Linked DNA regions of Struthio camelus. The protein of the gene in region 2 interacts with the protein of the main gene of each other region in a pairwise test. Links are inferred from orthologs where the notes say so. Each region holds a gene or a part of one and is shown on either strand. Other genes may lie near its edges.

Evidence for each region.
Region 1: the proteins of BBLN (region 2) and ATP6V1D interact in binary tests that used the Homo sapiens proteins (3 or more experiments, as listed by UniProt). The two-hybrid records come from large-scale screens. The link is inferred for Struthio camelus from reciprocal best matches to the Homo sapiens genes BBLN and ATP6V1D.
Region 3: the proteins of BBLN (region 2) and CEP290 interact in binary tests that used the Homo sapiens proteins (3 or more experiments, as listed by UniProt). The two-hybrid records come from large-scale screens. The link is inferred for Struthio camelus from reciprocal best matches to the Homo sapiens genes BBLN and CEP290.

The regions. Positions count from the first base shown.
Region 1 is NC_090946.1:46,691,295-46,699,145, reverse strand, and holds the start of ATP6V1D (V-type proton ATPase subunit D), read right to left. Parts: upstream 3,016-7,851; 5' UTR 2,828-3,015; coding exon 2,787-2,827; intron 1,971-2,786; exon of another isoform or gene 1,534-1,970; intron 399-1,533; coding exon 281-398; intron 1-280. Other genes in the region: EIF2S1 (eukaryotic translation initiation factor 2 subunit 1), read left to right, coding at 5,377-5,617, 6,376-6,455, 7,280-7,431. UniProt on the Homo sapiens protein: Subunit of the V1 complex of vacuolar(H+)-ATPase (V-ATPase), a multisubunit enzyme composed of a peripheral complex (V1) that hydrolyzes ATP and a membrane integral complex (V0) that translocates protons.
Region 2 is NC_090961.1:7,400,814-7,407,994, reverse strand, and holds the start of BBLN (bublin coiled-coil protein), read right to left. Parts: upstream 3,104-7,181; 5' UTR 2,239-3,103; coding exon 2,154-2,238; intron 1-2,153. Other genes in the region: PTGES2 (prostaglandin E synthase 2), read left to right, coding at 4,265-4,300, 4,690-4,884, 5,564-5,619, 6,258-6,410, 6,966-7,166. UniProt on the Homo sapiens protein: Essential for intermediate filament organization in intestinal cells, interacts with intermediate filament and regulates intestinal lumen morphology.
Region 3 is NC_090942.1:49,141,452-49,148,649, reverse strand, and holds the start of CEP290 (centrosomal protein of 290 kDa), read left to right. Parts: upstream 1-4,147; 5' UTR 4,148-4,474; exon of another isoform or gene 4,475-4,832; intron 4,833-6,968; 5' UTR 6,969-7,015; intron 7,016-7,198. UniProt on the Homo sapiens protein: Involved in early and late steps in cilia formation. Its association with CCP110 is required for inhibition of primary cilia formation by CCP110.

The DNA.
Region 1 (7,851 bases), on a different chromosome or scaffold from region 2:
AGTAGGAAACTCTAGATATAAAATAAGAGAATCTAGCGCTAGTTGGAAAGAGGGGAAGAATATTAAGTCTTACAGATTTTCAGTACCATCGCAGCCAGGAAAACATACTTCTGCTTATTTGTCCTCAGTAGCCTCACTTACAAAACACAGGTTATACACAAAGTTGTACTACATTCTAGCTTACCTTATGAAGTTAGCAGGATGGGAACGTACAACTGACATATAACAGAGAACTTTTAAATGGAGTGAGCTAAATATAGGAAAATTCCAGTTTACCTACCTCAATAATTTTCTTAAGGATCTGCCTGAATCGAAGTGTCAAAGCATCAGATTTTTTCTTCAAGAGGTTACGACCTGTTTGGGCTCCTTTCAAACGAGCCTTCATGATGGTCTGAGCCCTGTTAAACAGACCAAGAAACAAAAAGGCCCTGTGTCATCCAAAGGGATTAGGAAAAAGTCATAACAAGTTTCCTGGCACGGACATGACTGAAATTATGAAGCAACCGAGCAAAATCAATGCAGTAAACCAGGTTGGACAATTCAGGAAAGAATTCTCTTTTTCTGTTTGAAATCAAGGGAACTTATCTCCTCTCCATCAATGAGGATTACAAGGTTAGTATCTGTAAAGCTGAATAGCATGGAAAATTGACAAGTTATTTTTCAGCCCCTTCATAATAGGAAATAAAGAGTTTTCATTTTTCCTGATGACAGCTACTCCAAATGAACCATTCTGACACAGATTTGGGAACTGAAGGATCCCCGTTTCCCTCTACTCCTGTGAAGTATGGTTTAAATTGCACAATTTGTTGATTTAGGTTAACTAAAATGACAGTAGCTATACTACAAAAAACACAAGTTTTGCTAACTTAAGCTACTGCTTTGTACACATAATTACTACACACAAAGGACAACACTCAAGACAGCTCTGTGAAAGGAGTAGCCTGCACACTTCCTCTCTGACCTTGGAAAAATTAAGTATAATTAAGATTCTACCTACACTGTGAAATCCATTACTTCCCCCACTTTACAGGCATATTATAAGAGTGGCTTCATTAATGTCTAAAAGACGCTTATAACCGGAAAAAAAAAGTGAGTACTTTCTGAATGTTCATGATGAAAAACAAGGTCAAAGAATAAAAAGGTAGCTTTACTTTCATAACAAACTGGAACTGGTTCTGGAATGCCACCACCTTGAACCAGCTCACTTGCTCTGCTCGCTACCTGTCAGAGACTGGCTCAGTTTCTACTTCAAGCAAGATTTCACGGGCTCTGAGAACGCGTTAAACAAAGTCTTGTTTACTGTCAATAAGAGCAGTTTCTGCAAGGGATCACGTCCAGTACAGAAGAGGTTCATACCAGCAAGACCAAAGAGTAAAAGAAAAAAAGAAAGAAAAAAGAAAAAGAAGGATTTTGAAAACTCTGCTCTGTCAGTTAACAAAAAGATTTGTTCCAGAGGCAGAGAGGGGCCATCTTTATTTTACTGCCCTAACTTACTTCCCCATCAAAATATCAGCCGCATTATTGGTCTATTACCTCCTTTGAAGAAGAGGCTTGTAAATATTAAGCCTTCGTACATCATCACCTTCTTGCCACAATGAGGTACCAGCCCACAACACAGGTGCCTTTCCAAAATAACTGAAGTGTCTTTTCCTTGGACGTGTAAACTCAATGAAAAGAGGACGGTCAACAGCAGATGCAAGACCAAATGACTTACTACCTACAGCAGCTTATTTCTGATCCAAGATTCAAAACAGAATCTTTACCATGTAATATATTAATTTTTCCATGTAAGGTGTTATTTCATACATCCTGAGCTCATATGAGGGAAGGACTGTTATTTTACATGTGAGGTTCTCTACCACTGCAAGGTATCTTTCATAAAGACTATATCTCAGGCATCAACCCAGTTTTTATGCAAGATTTGAAACAGCTTTCCACTTTAAAGCAAAGTCCTTCTATCCCAGGGAGTTCTGAAGAGAAAATGAATAGCACTGTTACAATAGCAATTTTAATAGCATGTCAATTTTAAACATTTGCATTCATTCCAACGTCGGCCTCTTCCCAAGCCTTGTCAAAAGGCACCTGACTTCATGACAAATAGTCTGCTGTCAGGATCTGGAAAATTACTTGACTGTCCACTGCACTTTTTGCATTTGACTTCCTGTATTTTCTTAACCCTTTACAGCCAACCTCTCGAATGCAGTTGCTGCCACATTAGTTATATCAGTGGCAACTATTTAGAAGAGAAAATGCGGTTTGATTTGCGGTCTTTTTTCTTGAACCCAGATTCTACAAATTGGTCTTTTTTGCAATCAAACTTTGCCTTACTGTATAATAAGCCCCTGGGAAGCTGCTTCTCCCTTGGTACTGGCCCCTGCAATGGCCCTCGCATGGCCCAGAGAGCTAATATTGAGCAACTTGGAAAAAAGAGACTAACGGGAAGATCAAGCTGCAGTCTCCAACTGCCTAGCAAGGGGTTTCACGCGAAACACAGAGCGAGACTGCCCTTGGGGGCGCACAGCAGGAGGGCCGGCGACAGCGGGCGCAGCCTGCGGCACGGGAAACGCCGGTGGATGCCACAAGCGGAACTGATCCCGCAGAGGCATCGGCAGCTCGGCTGGGCCGGGCCGGGCCGGGCCGGGCCGGGCCGGGCCCCCCCCCCGCCCCGCGGCTCTGCTCGGGGCCGCAAGCGCGGCCCGGCCCGGGCTGGGCGGCCGCAGCCGCCGCGGCCCGCGAGGCGCCGACCGCGCCGCCCGCCGCCCCGGCCCGCGCGCAGGCTCGCTCACATGCGCGACGGGAAGATCTCGATGCGGTCCTTGCCCGACATGGTGGTGGTGGCGGCGGGCGGGCGGGCAGCGCCGCGGGACCGCTCCTGCCGCCGCGCCGCACCCTCGCGTGACGCCCCCCCCCCCGCCGAGTGACGCGACCCCGGCGCAGCGGCCGCGCCCCCGCCCCGAGCAGGCCGGAAGCGCCGGGAGAAACCCGGATGGGAGAGCCCGCCCCCTCCCGCAGGCCGGCGCCGGCCCCGCCCCTTCCTTGCGGTCACGTGCCCGCCCGGGGCCAACGGCGCCCTCTGGGGGCGGGAAGGGAGAGAGACGTAACTTGTTCCTGGGCCTGTTTGTGCTCCCAGGAGGTTCTTGACTCTGCGGCTCTTAAGCGGTCGCCTCGCTCTCAGCGCGCGGAGTCCCGCAGGCTCCGAGACCGTTCTAGTGCAGCGCGAGCGCTACGCCCTCGCCCGCCCACCGTCCGCCTCGTCCCCCCACCTCGGCGCTGGGACTCTATGATCCGGCGGGGCGGGGCCGGCCCGTCTCGCGAGAAGGAGCGCGGCGGGGCGGCGGGGGCCGGTGCACGCTGAGGCAGGAGCCGGGCCAGCGCGGGATCCGGGAGCGCGAGCGGACAGCGGGACCCCCCGGCCGTTGCCAGGTAACGGCCCGTCCCGGCGCAGCTCGCCTCCTACCGCCGACTCAGGCTCCGGCCCTGGGCCCCGGCGCCGCGCCGCGCCGCCCGGCTCCTCGCGAGGACCGGCGTGGCGGAGGGCTGGGCCCGGGGCGCCGAGGGCCGCGTCCGCCATCTGCCGCGCAGCTGCGAGCGGCCCGCCCGGGGGGCCGCACTCTCCGGGCCGGGTCGGGCCGGGCCGCGGCCTGCCCGCGTCTTGCCGTCGGCCTGCTGGAGGGGTCCGCGCCTGCGCCCGGCGGGGGCTCTCGGCCGCCCCGGGGGCCGCTTCCGTCCCCGCTTCGGCGCCTGTGCTGCCCCCAGGGCTGTGACTCCCCGGCCTGGGCACCGGGTCGTGGCAGCGACGCCGCAGCGGAGGAGTTTCTGGCCAGAAGTTAGCCTGGTTTTGCCAGTTCTTACAGAGGCCTCTGTGGTCGTTTCGTGGCAATGTGGATTTAAATCCTTGCCCGTTCATTTCCAGCGTCTGGGAAAGATGATTCCCAGTCTTGGGGCTGCAGGTAGCGTGTTGTCCCTGAGGCCCTTTCGATGGGAGGACAGCATAAATGCCTTGTGACCACGGAGAGAGCAGTGAAACGCTGTCTGTGCAGAGCTGTAGTTGTCTGTTCTTGCTCGCCATTGTTGGGGGTTGTTGCTTTATGCTATGTGTTTATTCAGTGTCTCATACATAGATATTCAGGATTAATCTGAATTGCACTAAATAGACTGGAAAGGTAAATTGTAAAATGTGTATTTTTAGTCTTGGGATTCTTTGTTGAACTTATGGTTACGTGAAACCTTTAGAGGACTGTTTTCATAATTGCTTCACTAGTTTATATTTTCTCCTTTCTCAAAGTTAGTGAAGAATGAAAATAAAGATGGACACTTTCTTCAAAATTGTTTGGCCGTGTTTGTGTAGCAGTTGGCATCACCGTCTTACTCTTTTTAATATTCTTGTATTGATGCAGTGCGTTAGCACTGCTGTGAAGATCAGGCGTGAAACTTTGAAATGGCAATTAAATCTTTCAGGGAAGTAACATGTTTGACTTGGTATTACAGGCTGCTACATCCAGAGTGATCTTATAGTTCTGTATCAAACTTCTAGGCATAGACAAAAGGAGTTGGGGTAGCCTGATTAGTAGTGATGAATGTGTGGATTACTCTCATCATCAGGAAAATGAAGCAGTTTCCTATGAAACTGCATGGATTAGTGTGCATTTCTTCTTATCGCTGCACGTTTATGAAGCATGAGCCTTCTTTTTTGCGTGTGTTCTGCTGTTCTTGCATCCTTTGACTTCTGAAAAGTGGCCTCTGGAGCTGTAAGCCTTCCTCTCTCTGTACGGAATTATTCCAAATATTTTATGTTGAGTTTAAAATATCATTTTCTAGAGTATAGAGATAGATGGGGTCTCTTCTTTCTCAGTACTACAGAAGCTTTGCTCTGCTTGTTATTTTATCAACATTTCACATGCTGTCTTATGATACGCTTACAGATATGTTTGTTATCGCTGCAGTTCTCTTCTCTTCTGTGTGCTCCTGTTGTTGAAATCTGATTTATAATTTTACATGATATTATGAATTTAGATGAATGAAGAGTGCTGTACCTCCTTTTCACCACATGAAGTCTCTTCTGTATTGTGCAATATATGTCATACGACAGTCGAAGTGGATAATAACTAGGTAGCAAGGTTTTTTACCTTCATGCAAAAGATGATCATCTTAGCAAAGCCTGTGATAATACTAAATACTAAGATAAATTAATTTAGTATTTTATGAGAGCCTAATTCTGGAAATGTTTTCCTAAAGTAATTTGCAATTTCTTGTTCCAGAGTTCAGTGTTCCTCTTTATCCTTACTAGTCCTTGCTGCTTCTTACTACGTTTGTGGGAGAGGTTAGTGGTGTACTATGAGCTAAGTCATCTTTGTTTCTTTTTGCGCAAATTACAGAATGCCAGGACTAAGCTGTAGATTCTACCAGCATAAATTTCCAGAAGTGGAAGATGTAGTGATGGTCAACGTTCGGTCCATTGCTGAAATGGGAGCTTATGTCAGCCTGTTGGAATACAACAACATTGAAGGCATGATCCTTCTTAGTGAGCTATCCAGAAGACGTATCCGTTCCATAAACAAACTCATCCGCATTGGGAGGAATGAGTGTGTTGTGGTCATAAGGGTTGACAAAGAAAAAGGTATTCTGGGATATTATGGGCAGTATCAAACTTGAAATCATAAAGATAAACGCAAATAAACTGGGCAGCTTAGGTTTTTGGGTTTTTTTGGCTGGGAATTTTTTTTGCTTAAGGTACTCAAACAAAATAGAGCACAATCCTGCCACGTGATGTTTGTGAGCATTGTTCTGTGTGTCCTTTGAGAATCAGGTTGATGAAGATCAGTCACACCAGTAAAGATTTGTTTGAGTCCTCAAACTCTTAAATTCAATGTTTTAGTCAACAAACGGTATTGAAGTGGGATTTTCTTTTGAAGTCTCTGTTTATTTTCTGAGTCTTAACTGGAGAGAAGAATGATACTAGACCTGTCTGTGGTAGTGAAAAAAAAAATCTAAATGATGAGCATTTAGACCTCACAGTTCATCCTGTGCCCTAAGGCATCAACCCTGACTATAAAATGGATGGCAGTTATGTAACGATTGTACCATATGCATACTGTAGAAGGTTAAAAGTTGGGATTGTACATATAGCCTTAACTTTTGTCCATTCCTGTCTTCTGAACTCTTGAATCTTTGAAGTTCTTTAATGTATTTTCTATGTAGGATGTCATTTTTTAGCAATACTGTTCAGTGCCATCTTTAACATCTATATCCTTGTTCTTTATGCTTTTTTTTCTTGAAGCATTTAGACTTTTGAACATGGGGTGTATTTTTTGTTACTTGAAGAGTAAAGTTTGCATAATCCTGACACTTTCCAAATTTTTTTTTTTCTTCTAATAGGTTATATTGACTTGTCAAAAAGAAGAGTTTCTCCAGAGGAAGCAATCAAATGTGAAGACAAATTCACAAAATCGAAGACTGTAAGTTGCTCTGCTATCTTCAGACACTGTGGTTTGCTCAGTTGCTTTTCTGAACAACAAAAATGCATAGGCATAAGTTAAATGAGAACAATAATTTGTTTTCATATCATCAGGAATGCTCTGATATTCATTTACCCATGCACATATATGGTCAGTTCATTTGTCTGTGAATGCTCTGCTAAGCTGCTTCTTGTTTAATGGATAGATGAGTTGTCAATTGAAAACTTATGATGTAAAGGGTGATATTTTAATGATCAGAGATGCAAAAAAAAAAAAAACCTGGTTTAGCACGCTGTGGACAAATTTCATTGAAAAGACTTGCAGTCAGTGTGCTCTTATGCTTCTGAGTGAATTTTTTGCCATTGAGTATTACTTCGATTCTAACTTTTTTCTTTCCATACAATAAAATACTGTATGTTTAACAGTTCAGTAGAATTTTCTGTTTCATTTTCCTTGAGAGAGTAATTTTATTTTCATAACATGTAGTAAAGGTTCAGGTTAATGCAGTTGTGTTTGATACTTTATACGCTCCTAGAGTTTTGTATGTAATTTATTGCTAATTATAGAGGGATATTATATTGCAGCATCCTGCAGCGTTTGGAATCAAAGCAATTTTTCATTGATCTGTTGGATTTTTTTTTTCATTTGTTTTTGTTGTCTATTTGTAGCAACAATTTTGATTGCGGACTTTTAATCTGAAGGACTCAATTGCGTGCTGTACAAGCTCATAGTAAGAGTCACTCATTGTGTGAATTTGCAGTTGGAACAAGACATCCTCATTTCTTCCCCTCCCCCCCCTTTTTAAAAATTTGTTTATGTTCAAGGTTTACAGCATTCTTCGCCATGTTGCTGAGGTCTTGGAATACACTAAGGACGAGCAGCTTGAGAGTCTGTTCCAGAGAACTGCCTGGGTATTTGATGACAAGTACAAAAGACCAGGATATGGTGCTTATGATGCATTCAAGCATGCAGTCTCGTAAGGATGCTTTTTTACTTCTGGGAATTCCCTTCATAGTTGCAGAGAAGTACTTCCTGGACTAGGTTCATCATAATGCAAAGTCAGTATGTAGCGTGTACTGATCAATTAAGCCTAGCAAACTTTTATTTCAGCCCTCCAGTTGCTCACTGTAGGTTTCTCTAACTGTTCAAGTGACTTTTGTCAGAAAAGAAGAGGCGCTGGCCTTGGTTTCTCTGTCAGAATTTGCCTGTTTGTAGTCCCAGGCAGATACTCTCATTCAGATCTAGTTCTGTGCCTGAAGATATTTATGTCCACAGCTGTCATTCTTCCACTGCTACCAGCTGAATTTTTCTTTTCTAAAGGCTGTCACAAGTTGACTTGTTACTTCTCTAACCAGTGCTTCCAAACTTAAAGAGCAGAAGTCTTCAGTCTAACACT
Region 2 (7,181 bases):
CGCACACCAGACCCTTATGAATAAAGTCAGTTCCTTTTAAGTTATCATTTTCTAACTGGTCTCACACCAAGCGCACACACACACTGACATTAGTTCTCAAGAGGCCAGATCTTGAGATAGGTAAGGGGACCTGGCAGGATTTTACTGGGCGTGATTTGCCTCTAGTGAATAATCAGCAGTCTGTGCTGCTTTCAAAAAGCATCTTCCCAAGGCCGAATGACCCTGGGAACAGGTCAAGGAGAGCAGAGGTCAGTGGTAGAGCTGGATGCTCTTTGAGAGAAGTTATTTCCACAGTTTACAGTACAACTATTTTAAAAATAACTGTGAATACTGAAGTATTACAGTTATTTGCATTACTAATAGTGGAGGATGAGTTTCATTGTAAGAGAATTGTCCTCCTTTTCTTATGCTACTTTGATGGAGCCATTCAGAGCAGTGCTGCAGCCTTTAATTGCTTGGAGAAGTGCATATGTGGCACTTAAGCATGTTTATAAGAGAAAATTTTGGCCTTGCAGGTATATGCAGAGGTGGTATTACGAGCAAGAGCACAGCTGATGTCCTTCCATTTAAAAACGAATTTCACAAACACAAATTCTTTCCAAAAAAGGGGCAGTCATCAATATTTTGTAAACTCTGCTTCACAGTATATGATACCAGAATGTCCAGGAGTTACAGCGCTCCTTTAGCATAGTATTTGTTCTATGTGTGATGCAGCATGTTCCAGTTAAACGGTGAGAAGATCTCAAGCAGATACGATGACTACTTCTGACAAGAAAATAACATTATTCATCAACTAGGTCAAGAACTCTAATCACAGAAGCCTAATTGTTCTGGTGCCCAATGCTCAAAAAAAAAAAAAAAAAAAAGCTATAAAAACCGTGCAGCTTTGGGAAGCGGAAAAATTTTAACTATTTTAAAATAAGCTGTAAAAACAGTTAATTTGATTGTCTTCTGCTAGTTGCAAGCTTCGTGTATTTTTGCAGACACTTAACTACTTCTCCCAATGGAGATGTTCACCAGGAGCGGGGCAATCACATTTTTTGCTTCTCTGCATTCTTATGGTAACAGTTGCCATGAAATAAGGTCTCCTGCTTGAGATCAAAGAAGCGATCCACAGTTTCACCTCAACTAAACCAGGAAATATCTACAGATCATTACAACTAGAGAGCGCGCACAAACCCTCTGCTAATTACAAATAGACCAGCCTAATGCGGAGACTTGATTTAGCGACTTTCTCCATCGCCTCCACTGCATCTCTTAGCTCTTCAAAAAGTAGGAAGCGCAAATCACCGTTGGATAACGCAGTGCCGTGACTGCTCCTGGGGTACTGCAGCAACAGAAACGATCCTTCTGTCACTGGGACGATCAGCCAGAAAGACGAGATTCACCTACACAGGTCAGGTCTGTGCTTGCTGGAAACTCAGTGGTCTTTTGAGAAAGGGAAAGCAAAGCTCCGCTCTTCCCCACTTTCAAGAGGAGAGTAGCTATGTGCTTACGCTTCAAAAGATTTCCAATGTTAAGAATGACCCATACATACCCCTTTGAGCTCTGCTATTTTCTCATTTCCTCCAAAAGTTTTTTTTTTTTTGGTCTAACCGGCCACGGCAGTATCAAAAATTTCATACCTAGGCATTGCAGAAATGACTGAAAGTGGAATTTGCCAAGCTGATTGCATTAAACACAGTTTTTCCATCCTTGACTATTTCATCCAGCTCTGCCCAAGCGGTCTCTCCTGCGGGTTCAAAAGCTGAACACGGTCATCACAGCCTGTACGCTAGCAAAAGCACTGAATAATCTTCTTTTCACACGGGGGGAAAAAAAAAAGCAATCTATAGGAGCTGCCGTGCCACACTGAGGGGAAGGAACCATCTCCTCCGCCTTTGCGCGTGCAGCTGCTGAGGTCACAGGACGAGTCCTGAGAAGCGCTAGGTCTGGCTTCCAAAAACTAAGAAACAGAGCTGACAGACAAGCGCTAATCCCCAAGGCAGCGACGCGCAGCCATAAATCTGGAAAAACACCACCGCGAGGAGCGCCACGGGGCCGGGCGCTGCGGAGGAGACGCGGCCTCCTCAGGCGCAAAGCCAGGCAGGGCGGCCCAGCCCCGGTCCCGGCCCGGCCGGGCAGCGAGGCAGGACACCGCGGCCCTCACGCACCTTCCTCCCCGAAGCTGTCCCCGTCCTCGTCGTCCTGCCCGGCGGCGCCCGCCGCCACGTGCGGCTCCCCGTTAGGCCCCGACATGGTGCTGCAACGCCGAGAAGGCGCGTCGGAACCCCCGGGCACCGCGTTGGAACGCGCGGGAGCGCGCCACTACCGCGTTGGAACGCGCTGGAACGCGCTGGAACGTCGGGACCGCGCGTTGGAACGCGTTGGAACGCGCTGGAACGTCGGGACCGCGCGTTGGAACGCGCTGGAACGCCGGGGGCGGAGCGCCCGCTGAGCTCGGCGGGGCGCCGGAGCGCTGGCCAATGGGAGAGCTCCGCGCCGCCGCTCGTCACGCAGCCCGGCCGCCCGGCGCTGGGCTAAAGCTTGTGGTTAGCGGCAGGGCGCGCGGCGGGCGGTCCGCGGGCGGGCGGGGAGAGGCGCGCCGCGGCGCAGCCCCGCAGCCGCCCTTTCCGGGGTGCTTTCCCCAAAAGCGAAGCTGTGTGCTGACTCGGCCCGCCCCGCCGCGGCGGATACCCGGCACAGCGGGGGCACCGTCCGCGCTCGTCCTCCGGGATGGCTTTTAGTGCCGCGGGCGCAGGCCTGCGCGGGGGCGGCCCCCCTGCCCTGTGAGGAGCCGCCCCTCGCTGAAACCTTCTCTTCCCCGAGAGAATAAGCGCAATTTTCGTTGCCTTTCCTTATCGTTAGCCCCACCCGAGGGTATCTGATCGCTGCGTGATTTTTTCGTCCTCGGGGAGCTGTCTCCGGGATGAAAATAACTTGCAATTAGAGCACTCAGTCGAGCAGTGCGCCTGAGGCAAAGCTGGTTTGAGGGCCCCGTAACGCAGTGGGTATTTGGGGCGCAGCAGAAAGGAAAGGTCACGTCCTGATTTAACGGTGCAGCCGCCTCGCGTCCCGTCTTCAGCGTAACGCAGCTACGTGCTGCTGAGCTGGACCCCGCGTTACGCCCTGCCCTAAGCGGGGGAAGCGAGCGCGACCGTCAGGAAGATTGGGCGCGTAGAGCCGTTGGCCCTGTCGCCGCAGAAGCTCCCTAGGACAGCGCCCCGCGCGTGGGTTTTACAGCACTCCACGAGGGAGGGATGTTGCTGTATTCATTCCCTCAGCGCGAAGCCCCGTCCGCCATTTTGGAGGGCCGGAGCGGGGGGGGGTGAGGGGGGTGCGGCCGTCCCCTCCCCGCGGCGGCGCGGTCCCTTTAAGGCCCCCCCCCCCCCCCCACTGCGCCCGCCCGCGCCGGGAACATGGCCGCCGCTGCCGGCAGGGCTTTGCGGGTCGCGGCGCTGCTGCCGCCGCCCCCCTGGCGGCTGCGGGCTCCGCGCCGCGCTTACGGCGCCGCGGGGGGCGGCGGCGGGCCGGGCGGCCGCGGCCGCCTGCTGCTGGGCGCTGCCTTCGCGCTGGGCGGCGGCGCCGGCCTCTACCAGGTGGCGCGGCAGGGCCTGCGGGAGCACTCGGCCGCTGAGGTAACGCGCCGCCGCCGGGCCCCGTTTTGTCGCCCCCGGCGCCCGCCCTTCCCTGGCCCCGGGCTGGCTGCGAGGCCCCAGGCGGGGGGGGTCCCCTCCGGAGACGGGCTCGGGGGAGGCGCGAGGCAGCTCCCGCTGGCTCTGCCGCCCCAGCGCCCCGCTGCCGCTCTAGCGTCTGCGAGGAGAGGGCTTAAAATAAGGAAAGAGCGGCCTTATCCTCAGTGAGGAGCTGTAGGGAGCCCTTGTTAGAAAGGGAGAGCTTGGGGGGAGGTGGAGTGTTGCCTCTTAGCTGGTGTTTTTTTTTTTTTTTTGTCCGGCACCCATGGAGGGTTGTGTAACCAAACCAATTACACACGAGAAGCAAGGTGAGATGGCTGCGTGTGCTCCGTAACGCATGCCGCAGTGAGCGCAGGCGGTCAGACCGCTGGAGTACCGCGGTGTTGCTGCGAAGCATCCCTGGCCTGATGCTTTGCTGTTTGTCCTACCCCCGGTTCTCCCTGTCCCCACCTAAGCACAGGTTGGTTATTCCCAGGAATCTGAGCTTCGGCAGTTGCACGCCTGAAGTCATTATTTTCTGGCAGGTTTTTAGCACCGTGTTTCTGTAATCAACTGTGCTGTGGGGTACCGCTGCGGCTCTCTGTAGCGTGATGAACAGAGCGTCTCTTTCCATTCTCCCCCACTCGGTAGGCTTCAGAGAGAGTGGTGGGTAAAACTGCTATTTTAGAGAAGTGTTTTGGTTTGGTTTAAATGCTGTTAAAATACTGTTGTGTTTTTCTTTAGTTTCAGAACTGTTTGTAAAGGGTTCAAAGCGTCAGATTTTTAACTGCCTTTTTGCTATGACTGGGAGTTTCAGCAGGCTAAATAAATATTTTGAAAAACAGGTATTTGGTCCCAATAGGAGGTGAATGTTTGTAATGCTATTTGAAGAAAGCATCCGTTAGCCAGGATATTTTGATGATCAGATGTTGAAACTGAACGTCAACAGCTACAATTTTAATATAAAGGTGGAAAGAAGATAGCATATTCAGATTTTTAGTAGGAAATACAAACTTCTGCTCTCTTCCTTCCCTAGCTGCCTGAAGGGAGCCTGCAGCTCACCCTCTACCAGTATAAAACATGTCCTTTCTGCAGCAAAGTCCGAGCTTTTCTTGATTATCATGGGTTGCCCTATGAAATTGTGGAAGTGAACCCAATAATGAGGAAAGAGATCAAATTCTCTTCCTACAGAAAGGTGCCCATCCTGCTAGCCAATGCTGGAAGCCCTCTGGTAAGTTGGGAAATGGTTTCAACTGTTTTGAAAGCTTGCTTCGTTTTCCCCACTAGCAACGGTTTGGAGATTTATGCTTCTCATTTGTCGCATACAGTATCATCTTTTATTCTCTCAGGAGCCTAAGATTTGTTCCTTGCTTCGTGATCTCTTGTTGCTTGGCCTTATTAGAGTTTTTTGTCTCTCTTTTTCCAAGACCTGTTGTTTTGTGTAATGACTCTATAATCCAGTGATTATGTAGCTCCCGATAGCCCTTATGCAGGACCCACTTTCTTTTTTTTTTTTTTTTTTGGTACCAGAGGGTAATGGGAGCTGCTTAGATCCTGTGGGAAAAGGATGAGGTCTAAAGAAAACTGAAGACTTAAGTGTGTGTATGTGTGTCCGTGTGCCCCCAGCGTTGCTTTCCCTCCTTTGCTGCCAAGAGCTAAAACCCCAAACCTGCTAGTGTTGCCTGGATACCTGCCCTCAGGTCCCCTGTTGTCAGAATGAAAGACAGACTCAGAAGTGATAATCGCAGAAGGGAGCGCAATGGTAGGACTACCTGTGGAAATGCTTGGGGACGAAGGGACTACAGTATTAACTTGGAGCCTCAGAATGCTGGGGTAAAGACTCCGAAGAACTTTCCTTTTCAATTTCACCAAGAATTATTTTTAAAATTTGTCTTAATTCTGTTTTTCAGCAATTGAACGATTCTTCAGTGATCATCAGTGCAATAAAGACCTATCTTATTTCCAAGTAAGAAAACAGGTTGATGGGAGAAGAGTTGAATCTGAATGGCCCTAGCAAACTGGAGATTTAGAACACGCTCAGCAATTAGCTCATTAGTATCCTACTGATCTTAGCGTTTGAAGCTTTGGGTGTTTGGATCAGTTGACCTGATCCCCAGCCTATGACGGTGCGGACAACCCACGTATATGTTGGTGTGTGTGTTAAAGCTCAGCTTTTACCTTTCAGAACTCTCTTTCATCTGTGAGATTCTCTTTGCAGAAAGATTACTTAAGCCTTGGCTAGGGTTAGTCCCAGAGCTAAACTTGCCTTTGGCTAGTTATAACATCTAGAATGCCATCAAATTGCTGTGCTTGCGCGCTGTCCTTGCACCCCAGTTGCAAAACATTAGAGAATCGTAGGAGGCTTTATGCCTGCAGAAACTTCCACTTGTGTCCCATCTGACAAAGAGAAATGTAATGTACGCTAATAATAATGTTATTTGCCAGTAAGTATTCCAGAGTCCTTTTCAAACGCATTTCAAATAGAATTTGGTACTTCGTGCTTCTTTTTAGAATAATGCATTTTAAAGTGTATCTCTCTTGATATGTCTTTGCTCTTGCACATTTGTGTAGCAGCCAGAGCAGGTACTATGCTTCTGTCCTCAGGAGGAAGAGCTTAGAAGAGATTGTGTCCTTTTATCCTCCTATGAAAACTGTGACTGAGCAAGGCAAGGAGACATTCGAGTATGGGAATAAGTACTGGCTCATGTTGGATGAAACGGAGACAAAGCAAGTCTATCCCATGAAAGAAGTGAGAGTGTAAGTGCTCTTAAGTTTCTGGGTCTCCCAAGTAGGGTCACAGCCTCCTCCAGATATCCTCAGGGAGGGTACGTACGTATAATCCTGCTGGAGCTGCTACTGACAGCTCCTGCCACACCCCCTCTCCCCTGCTTGGTAGCTAGTGGAGATGTGTTTTTTACGCAAATTGAAACAATAGTGTTAGCATGACCGTGATGGTGGGACCTGGACTGTCTAGCTCCTAAGATTCCTCCAGTTTCTTTCTTTGGCTTTTCTGTCTGCTGCAGAGGAATGCTAGCTTCCCATGAATGGGTTTGCTGCTCTACTTTCCATAATGGGAAGAGAAGCTAGTGCTCTATCTTAGTCTTAGTTTCAGTTTGAGATTGGAGTAGCTTTGCCAAAGAGTGCTCCTGAGTACGTTTCAGAGAGGTCACCGGAGCAGAAGACGAGGCGGGAGCTTGTGATACACTCGTGCTTGGCTCAATCTCCTGTGAATGCCGCTGTGATTTGTAGCTGCCTCCTGTAGCCCCAGGTCTGCACCTCGTTCACTGAAAAATCTCTCTTGAATACCTGCAGGGAAGAAATGAAGTGGAGAAAATGGGCAGACGATTGGCTTGTTCACCTCATCTCCCCCAATGTTTACCGTACACCTAGGGAAGCCTTGGCATCTTTTGATTACATTGTCCGTGAGGGGAAGTTTGGCACTGTGGAAGGTTTCTTTGCCAAGTACCTGGGGGCCATTGCCATGTTCTTCATTAGCAAGAGGTTGAAGAAAAGGTTAGTAGCACTGGG
Region 3 (7,198 bases), on a different chromosome or scaffold from region 2:
TCTGTATGGGAAAAAAGCTCATACACTTAATCCCATTCAAGATTTCTAGAGATCATTAGATCTTATCTAATGACAAGATCATTAAAATTCATCTCAAACTTTAAAACTGTTACAGCTTTTGGATGAGAGGACTTACTACTTCAGAAGACACTCAGCATAACTGACATCTTATTGATATCTCTGGCTTCCAATTTAAAATTCAGTTCAAACCAACAAAAGTAACAAGCCATCAGAAAACTGAAACTTAGAAAATGATTCAACTTATTCATTGTCCACAACAGAATCTTACTGCATTCTAAAGACTTAACTTTATCATTCTCATACACTGAAAATATTCTCATTCTCAATTTTATTAAATATTCACAGATATTAAAAAAATGCCTTACACTTTCAGTCATACCAAAGCTTCATTACAAGACAACAGCATTTTCAACCACAATCAAACTGCAACTGTTCTCTATAGACAATGTAAGCAATAGTGTGGCCAGTCTGCAAAACTCCATAGGCTCACTTTGATGAAGAGTGCCTTGCATGTGCAATGTGAAGCATAATTATTATCTCAAGGAGCCTAATTCTGTGTTATATTAATGAGGCAGCTGGCAATGAAAAAACAAGCAATTTGCACAGGGATCAGGTAGCCTCTCAAAAACCTTTGTAAACATAATAATGATCATTTGTGTACATACCTAATCATAACATGTGGATTCCCCACTCTCTCGCTTGGAGTTCTAAGCCAGCATAAGACACAGACATACATGGAAGAGATCTGCAGAACTGGACTTGCATCTCAGTTACTCTGGAGACATGTACTTTGATAATAACTGAGGCTCCCTAACTAATTGAAATGTATTTACAGCTCACACAGAAAAGTGACTCAAACTATGAAAGGTGTGTGTGGGGGGGGGGGAACAAAGAAGGCTGAATTGGTGAATACCAGACATATACGATAGGTTGCCAAAGCTAGCAGTTTAGTCACTTTAAAAAGTTATTTTAATCCAGCACCTGAAGCTGTAGCCTCACTTGTCTTGCCTTCTTGGTCCCCTTTCTATAATTATTTCATTTTTGTTAAACCAAATATTCTGTCTGCTGACTTAGTATCACTGTTTAATGATAGAAAGAGATCATATACTGTATTTCTGTTTGTTCTGTTGTCCCTTTTCAAAACAGCCTTTAAACTTATCTTCTCCTAAAAATGCTGTCCCAAGGCTCAACTTCAGTTTGAAGCACTTTAGATCCACAGTTGAGGTTTAAATGATTGGGTTAGAATAGCATATGGCAGGCAGTATTTGGGAAGACAGAAGGAGGAAGAACACAAAACATGCCTGTACTCCCCTTCCTCTGGCTGGGACCCTAGACTAGAAAAAAATTAACAGAAGTTTTAATGGAGCAACCTCCTTCTGCAAATACCACAGGATCAAGGGGAAGTGGGACTAATCTGCATAATTTTCTAATCCCCATAAGGGGGATACATTACACTCTCAAAGCCTCCAGCTTTCTCTTTGCACAGTTTATTAAGTATCAACTAGTTAAGGAACGCCAATTCTGACTCGGAGTCAGAACATGTGGTGCAGGAAGGAGGAGAAGTTTCAGAGTGGGGATGACTGTGAAGTTTGCTGGCAATCAGCCAGCTGAACCAGAACTCAGACATTTTAGGTACCCTGGTATAAACAAGTATCAAAACATATACAGTGTAAAAATGGATAATAAGAAGATACTGCATTGTTTAGTTTCAATTTGTTCAATACACTTGATGTAACAATCAGCTGAAATACAAACTACACAAGAATAATACATATCTTAAAATAATTAACTCTTACAGGACTTAATAACTCATTAGGTCTGCCTTTAAATTTTTTTTGCTACTAAGCTATACATTTAAAAAGTAACAAAAGAATACCTTCTATATTCAGAATAACTGCAAGAATATAATGCAATGTTTCCTCCTAAGACACAGATGCAAAATATCACATCTCTAAAATAATGCTAATCAAACAGATCAACACCCTCAATGCTTCAGAAATACAATACTATTAACTGCATGTTCATTAACTCCATAGATCAGAGTATGCTACATGGGTAGCATAGGCTGAAAAGGCAGCCTTTAGACTCTGCTATGCATGTCCTTATTTAGTATGCTTGGACCACATGTGCCTCTTCCGTAAATAACATTTTATTAGATCTGTAATACTGCAGTTTTTGTATTAGCTTTTTGAAACAGCATACTATATCAAAACTGTGGTTTAATACAGATGCCCAACTCCTGTATCAGGGTAGGTCAAGCTGCCTATGATACAACTTAAATGTGTTCTGGCTCCAGATCTACAAGCATGCATTCTCACCAAAAGAAGATGCACTTATAAAACTCTTACCACATGATTAAGTGTGAGGCATAACAAAAAAAAAAATCCACTTTCTCAAAGCCATTCTGTATTTTGTATATTTCCCCTTTTAATGTAGGATTACTACTTCCATTCTTTCCATTCTATTTTCATTTTTTAAAGTTATCATGCCTACTTCAAAAATCCCCTTTAGCTCTACAGCAATCCTCTTGACTATCTATACTACACAATTGTGAACTAGATGTGGTTGCACTACAAGTACATGTAGTAGCTTTTTTGTTTTTTTGATTCTGTAACACGACAACACAAACATAAATGCTAAACCTCATCCTGCAGCAAGTCCACATAACTCTGTGCCAAACTTATTCTCTTTGGATCACCTCCACCTATAAAGCTCCTCCAACTAAAGAAATCATTGATTTACACTTAATAACGATGAATTTTGTTTTTAGTCACATTACCTATTCATGAAATATAGTCCTGTCTCTCTTTTCCTGCCCTAATTACAAAGTTTCCTTTTCTTCCCCACTACAGAGCTATAAGTAACCAGCCTCTGTCAAAGGTATAAAAGCCTTTACCTTCATTCAAGAATTAGAGTTAAAATGTTACTGGAACAAGTTACATAACTGTAAGGAGTGCCAAGCGTCTTGAGTTGTGTCAGCCTTCATTAAATATAAACACTGATTAAGAGATAGCAAAGAAAAAGAAATCATGAAGCTAGAGAAAGCCTAATATCAAGAAAGTCAGAAAACTACATTAGGATCACCCCTCTCCATCAGTACAGAGAGCCAACAAAAAGATCTTGAGCTTTCAGCACTCCTGCTGAATGAATACAAAGACATAAACACAATTCCAATGGTTGCTGTTTTCCCCCTTTTTATTTGAAAACGTACGTTCGTGCCCAGTTAGCTAAAACGCAGGATCCCAAACCTTTGGGGCCATCCGACACTACCAACGCTCACGGGGCCTTGCAGACCACCGGCAGAGTCAAGAGACCTAACCAGTCTATAGGTGCGATCCTTCCCGTATTGCTCTGCAAACTATCCTTTGAGGAGAGATTGTTATATACTTACTCACACACATATACACAGATAGAGAGACTTGGAGAGTGCCGCAGCCCCTGCTTATTTATACACATATACACAGATAGAGGGACTTGGGCAGTGCCGCAGCCCCGCAGCCAGCCACCCCTGCGGGAAGGCCCACACTGCCTGCAGCAACAGGGGGAGGCCGGGGGTAGGGGCCTGGGGGAGGGGGGGCAGGGCAAACGGCCGCCGCTGGGCACGAAGGCGCCGGTGCCTCCGTGAGGAAAGAAGCGGGCTGAGCCGCAGCGCGGGGCCCACTGCCCGCCCCCGGAGCCGGCTGCGCGACCGAGGCCCCGAGGCGGCACCGGAGCCCGGGCCTCCGCGGCCGGGTGCGGAGTGGGCGCGGATGAGGCCCGTGCCGCCCGGCCAGGGCAGAGAGGACACCTACCCCCACCGCGGAGGACGACCGCGGGCAGCATCAGCTCCGTCGGACCCCTCCCCGGTGCCCCCTGCGGAAGGAGGGCCCCCCACGCCGCCGCTCCCCACCTTACCTGAGGCCGCGGACGAAGCGCCCTCGCCACCGCCCACACCCCGGTGCGCATCCGCCCGCCCTCCGCCGCCGCCGCCGCCACCGCCACAGACGCCCCGCCGCACTGCGCACGCGCACACCGCCCCGCGACGGCCGGCGGCAACCCCTGCCCCGCAAGGGCTGTCGGGAAACCGCTCAGTCAGTGGCTGGACGTCCTCAAGGTGTGCCGGGATCTGTAGTCCCGGCGGAGGCGCACGGCATGCTGGGACACGTAGTCCGCCATCAGCAGCGGGAGGTTGCCGCCTGCCGCCGTGGTGAATCGCGTGTCCGGGCGGGATGGCTCCCCACCCCGTCCCGCTTTCCCGCCCTGCCCCCGTTTCCGCACCCGCGGGGGTCGCGCCGCTCCGCGATGCTGAGCATCGGTGGTGCTCAGCTTGCATTGTGGGGCTTGTAGTACCGCGGGAGGCCTGGCCCGCCCCCGAGTCCACGAGGATCCGGGTCGCCGGGAGCGGAGCCGGCGGGAGTGTTTGATGGCGTCGCCTAGCAGCGGCCTCTGCCGCCATCGTGGCCCTCGGGGAGCGGTGAGGTCGTGAGTGGGAGGCGACGCTGCGCTGCGGGAAGGGGCCGAGGTCCCGGGGCTCCGTCCTGTCGCCGCGCGGGACTGCCGGCTCTGCCCCGGGGGCGCCGTGGTCAGCGGGGAGCCGGGCCGCGGCTCACCTGTGCGGGGCGGCGGCGGCCGTTAGCGCCGTTACAAACGCGGCGCGTGCGGGGGTCGCTGCGGGGCGGTGCGCGTTTGCGCCCTGCTGCCTCCGCTTACAGCTGCGCGTCACCTCCGCCCCCGCCTGAAGGCGGACACGAAATAAGGTGGTTTGCCGCTCCGGAGGAGGCGGGCGAAGTGGAGGCGGAATTGTATCTCGGCAGCATCGCGGAGGAGTCGCGGTGTGTGTCTCGCTGTCACTCCCGGGGCCGCGATATACAGATTTGAAAGAAACGGGAAGCCTGCACGGGATCCCGTTTCGGGTGTGGCTTCGTGGTGCGGTGCAGCCCTGTGTGCTGCTAGTATAGGAGAGCTCGTTCTGGATAACCTAGTCTGTAGATCTAAGCTGGGATAATCCTCCTAGAGTAAATAACTAAGGATTTAGCAGAGTGTGTCTCCTGCACGACTGTGCTGCTTTTTAGTATTTAGTCTTGCTCAAGTGTACGTGGCTCTGTATTGCATGTTACGTGTGCCTTTATGGAAGAGGAATGGCTCCTCCTAATGCTGCTTAATTCACTGTGATGAAGATAGTGTATCGGCATGGTAGTTTAGCTGTCTTCTCTTCATGTGGCTTATTGTAGGCAGCACTGGGTGTTATAACTTGAACTTGCCCGCCACACTTCCCTTTTTATCTGCCTTACAGAACTCTCTAACATCAGAATGTTTTATATATGCTTGGTTCCCTAGCTAAGCCAAGAAAATCTTGTGTTAACTAAAGTCAAACTCATGTATATTTAACTGCTTTTACAGAACCGTGATCTCCTCTCCCCACCCAGATCTGTCAGCTAAAAGGCACACACTGTAGTGAGGGGAAGGCGTCAGCTAAATTTTAGGACGGAACACTTTTCAATTGAATAACTTATCTTTATTTTGTTGTCCTCAAGTATATACATAGTGTGGAATGTACTGTACGTTTAGGTTGTGCCCCCAAGAGCTTACTCTAGTTGTCCCCCAACAAGTTGGATTTTGTTTACATATATTATAGATAGATATATATCTATCTCTTTCAATACAATTTCAGATTGTTTTCTTAAAGACATTATTTAGTAAATAAATAAAAAGATTTTAAAGAGGGAAGATTGGATAACAGTGTCAGTAATAAGGTTGTAATAATGCTCTCAGAATAATTTTGACTGTCAGGCATTTCATATTCATAACTTCTGCCTCTCAATTGTTTTAAAAAAAGTGTTTAAAAGGAAAAAAAAAAACAAGTAAGTTAGTGAGGATCTTGAAATTAAGTAGCCTTCAGTTAACTGAAGAAGTAGGTGTGCCAAGATCAGTATGCTCTTTCTCTATTATTATATTTTTTAAATGAAAGACTATTAGAAGATGATTTTGTTCTCAGATTTTTGGGTACATATTTGTTATTGAAAGCCTTCCATTATGTTTGAAGAGATGAACTCAGAATTTAAGTATTAATTACTATTTTAAGTTAAATATTTCTCATTCACTGACTATGGTCCATATCCTTATGATGCTGTTAGCTCTTTTGTGCTCTCTGCCCTTTAGTCTTTTTCAGTCTTTTTATATTTGTGGTATGATATGGTCATTTCTTCTGTCTGCTCTAATAACGTTTTATCCTTATGAATATGTCTTCTCTTCATTGCATCTGCTGAACTGACATTTTGAATGTCTCCTGCATGTGATTTTCTGGTATTTTCCTTTGTCCTCTAGGAAAATCAGAAAAGCAAAATTTGTATATGATATTGTTAGGAAGCCATGGATTATATAGAATGCATGTTTTCTAAAACATTTAGTAAAAACTAAAGAAACAATAAATACAGAGAGAGCTGTCAAGTAGCATGCATCAAAGCAGATGAGAAGAGTTTGATTTTTATCCTCACTTATGTGTACACTAGGAGTTCAGAGTTTTCCAGTTCTTTCAGATTACATAGGCATATTTCCTGGGAAAATAGTATCACTTTCATTAAGGAAGGAACTTTCAGTTGTTGAGTCTTCAAACTGCTGAATGTGAACAGGGTGAATGATGAACAGATATCAAAATACTATACTCAATCTACAGCTTTGCTGTAGTTCTGAGAGAAGTCCCCCCCCCCCATCATAAAATACCTATCCCACTTGTGTTATTAGTTTACTTAGTATTAATGAACTAAACATTCTTGTTAATTTTATGTCTCTCTTAACTTTCTGAACCGTTAAAAGACGGATTTTTAATTTAGGGCAATATGTAAGTAGACTAAAAATATTCCTTTTAAACTTGGCAGAATTCAGCTTTCGACATATTGCTGATATGGCGGTAGGAACAGCTCTGGAGAATGTAGTAATCCAAGACTTCCATTCTCTTTTGCCTTTTTCAGGTACTCCAGGCCTATGGGAAGTCACTGTGACCCGCAGCAACTATCAGGTAAACTGTAAAACAAAACTTTGCACCGCTTCCAGATTAGATTTTCATCAGTTTCCAGATGGTTCACTGTACTTTTGTGGTTCAGGTACTCTAATCAGAAGGAAAGGATATTTAATACAAGAATTCAATGTCTTACAAATGAATTTCAACAAATGGATATGAATAGTATCAAACTAAAGCAAG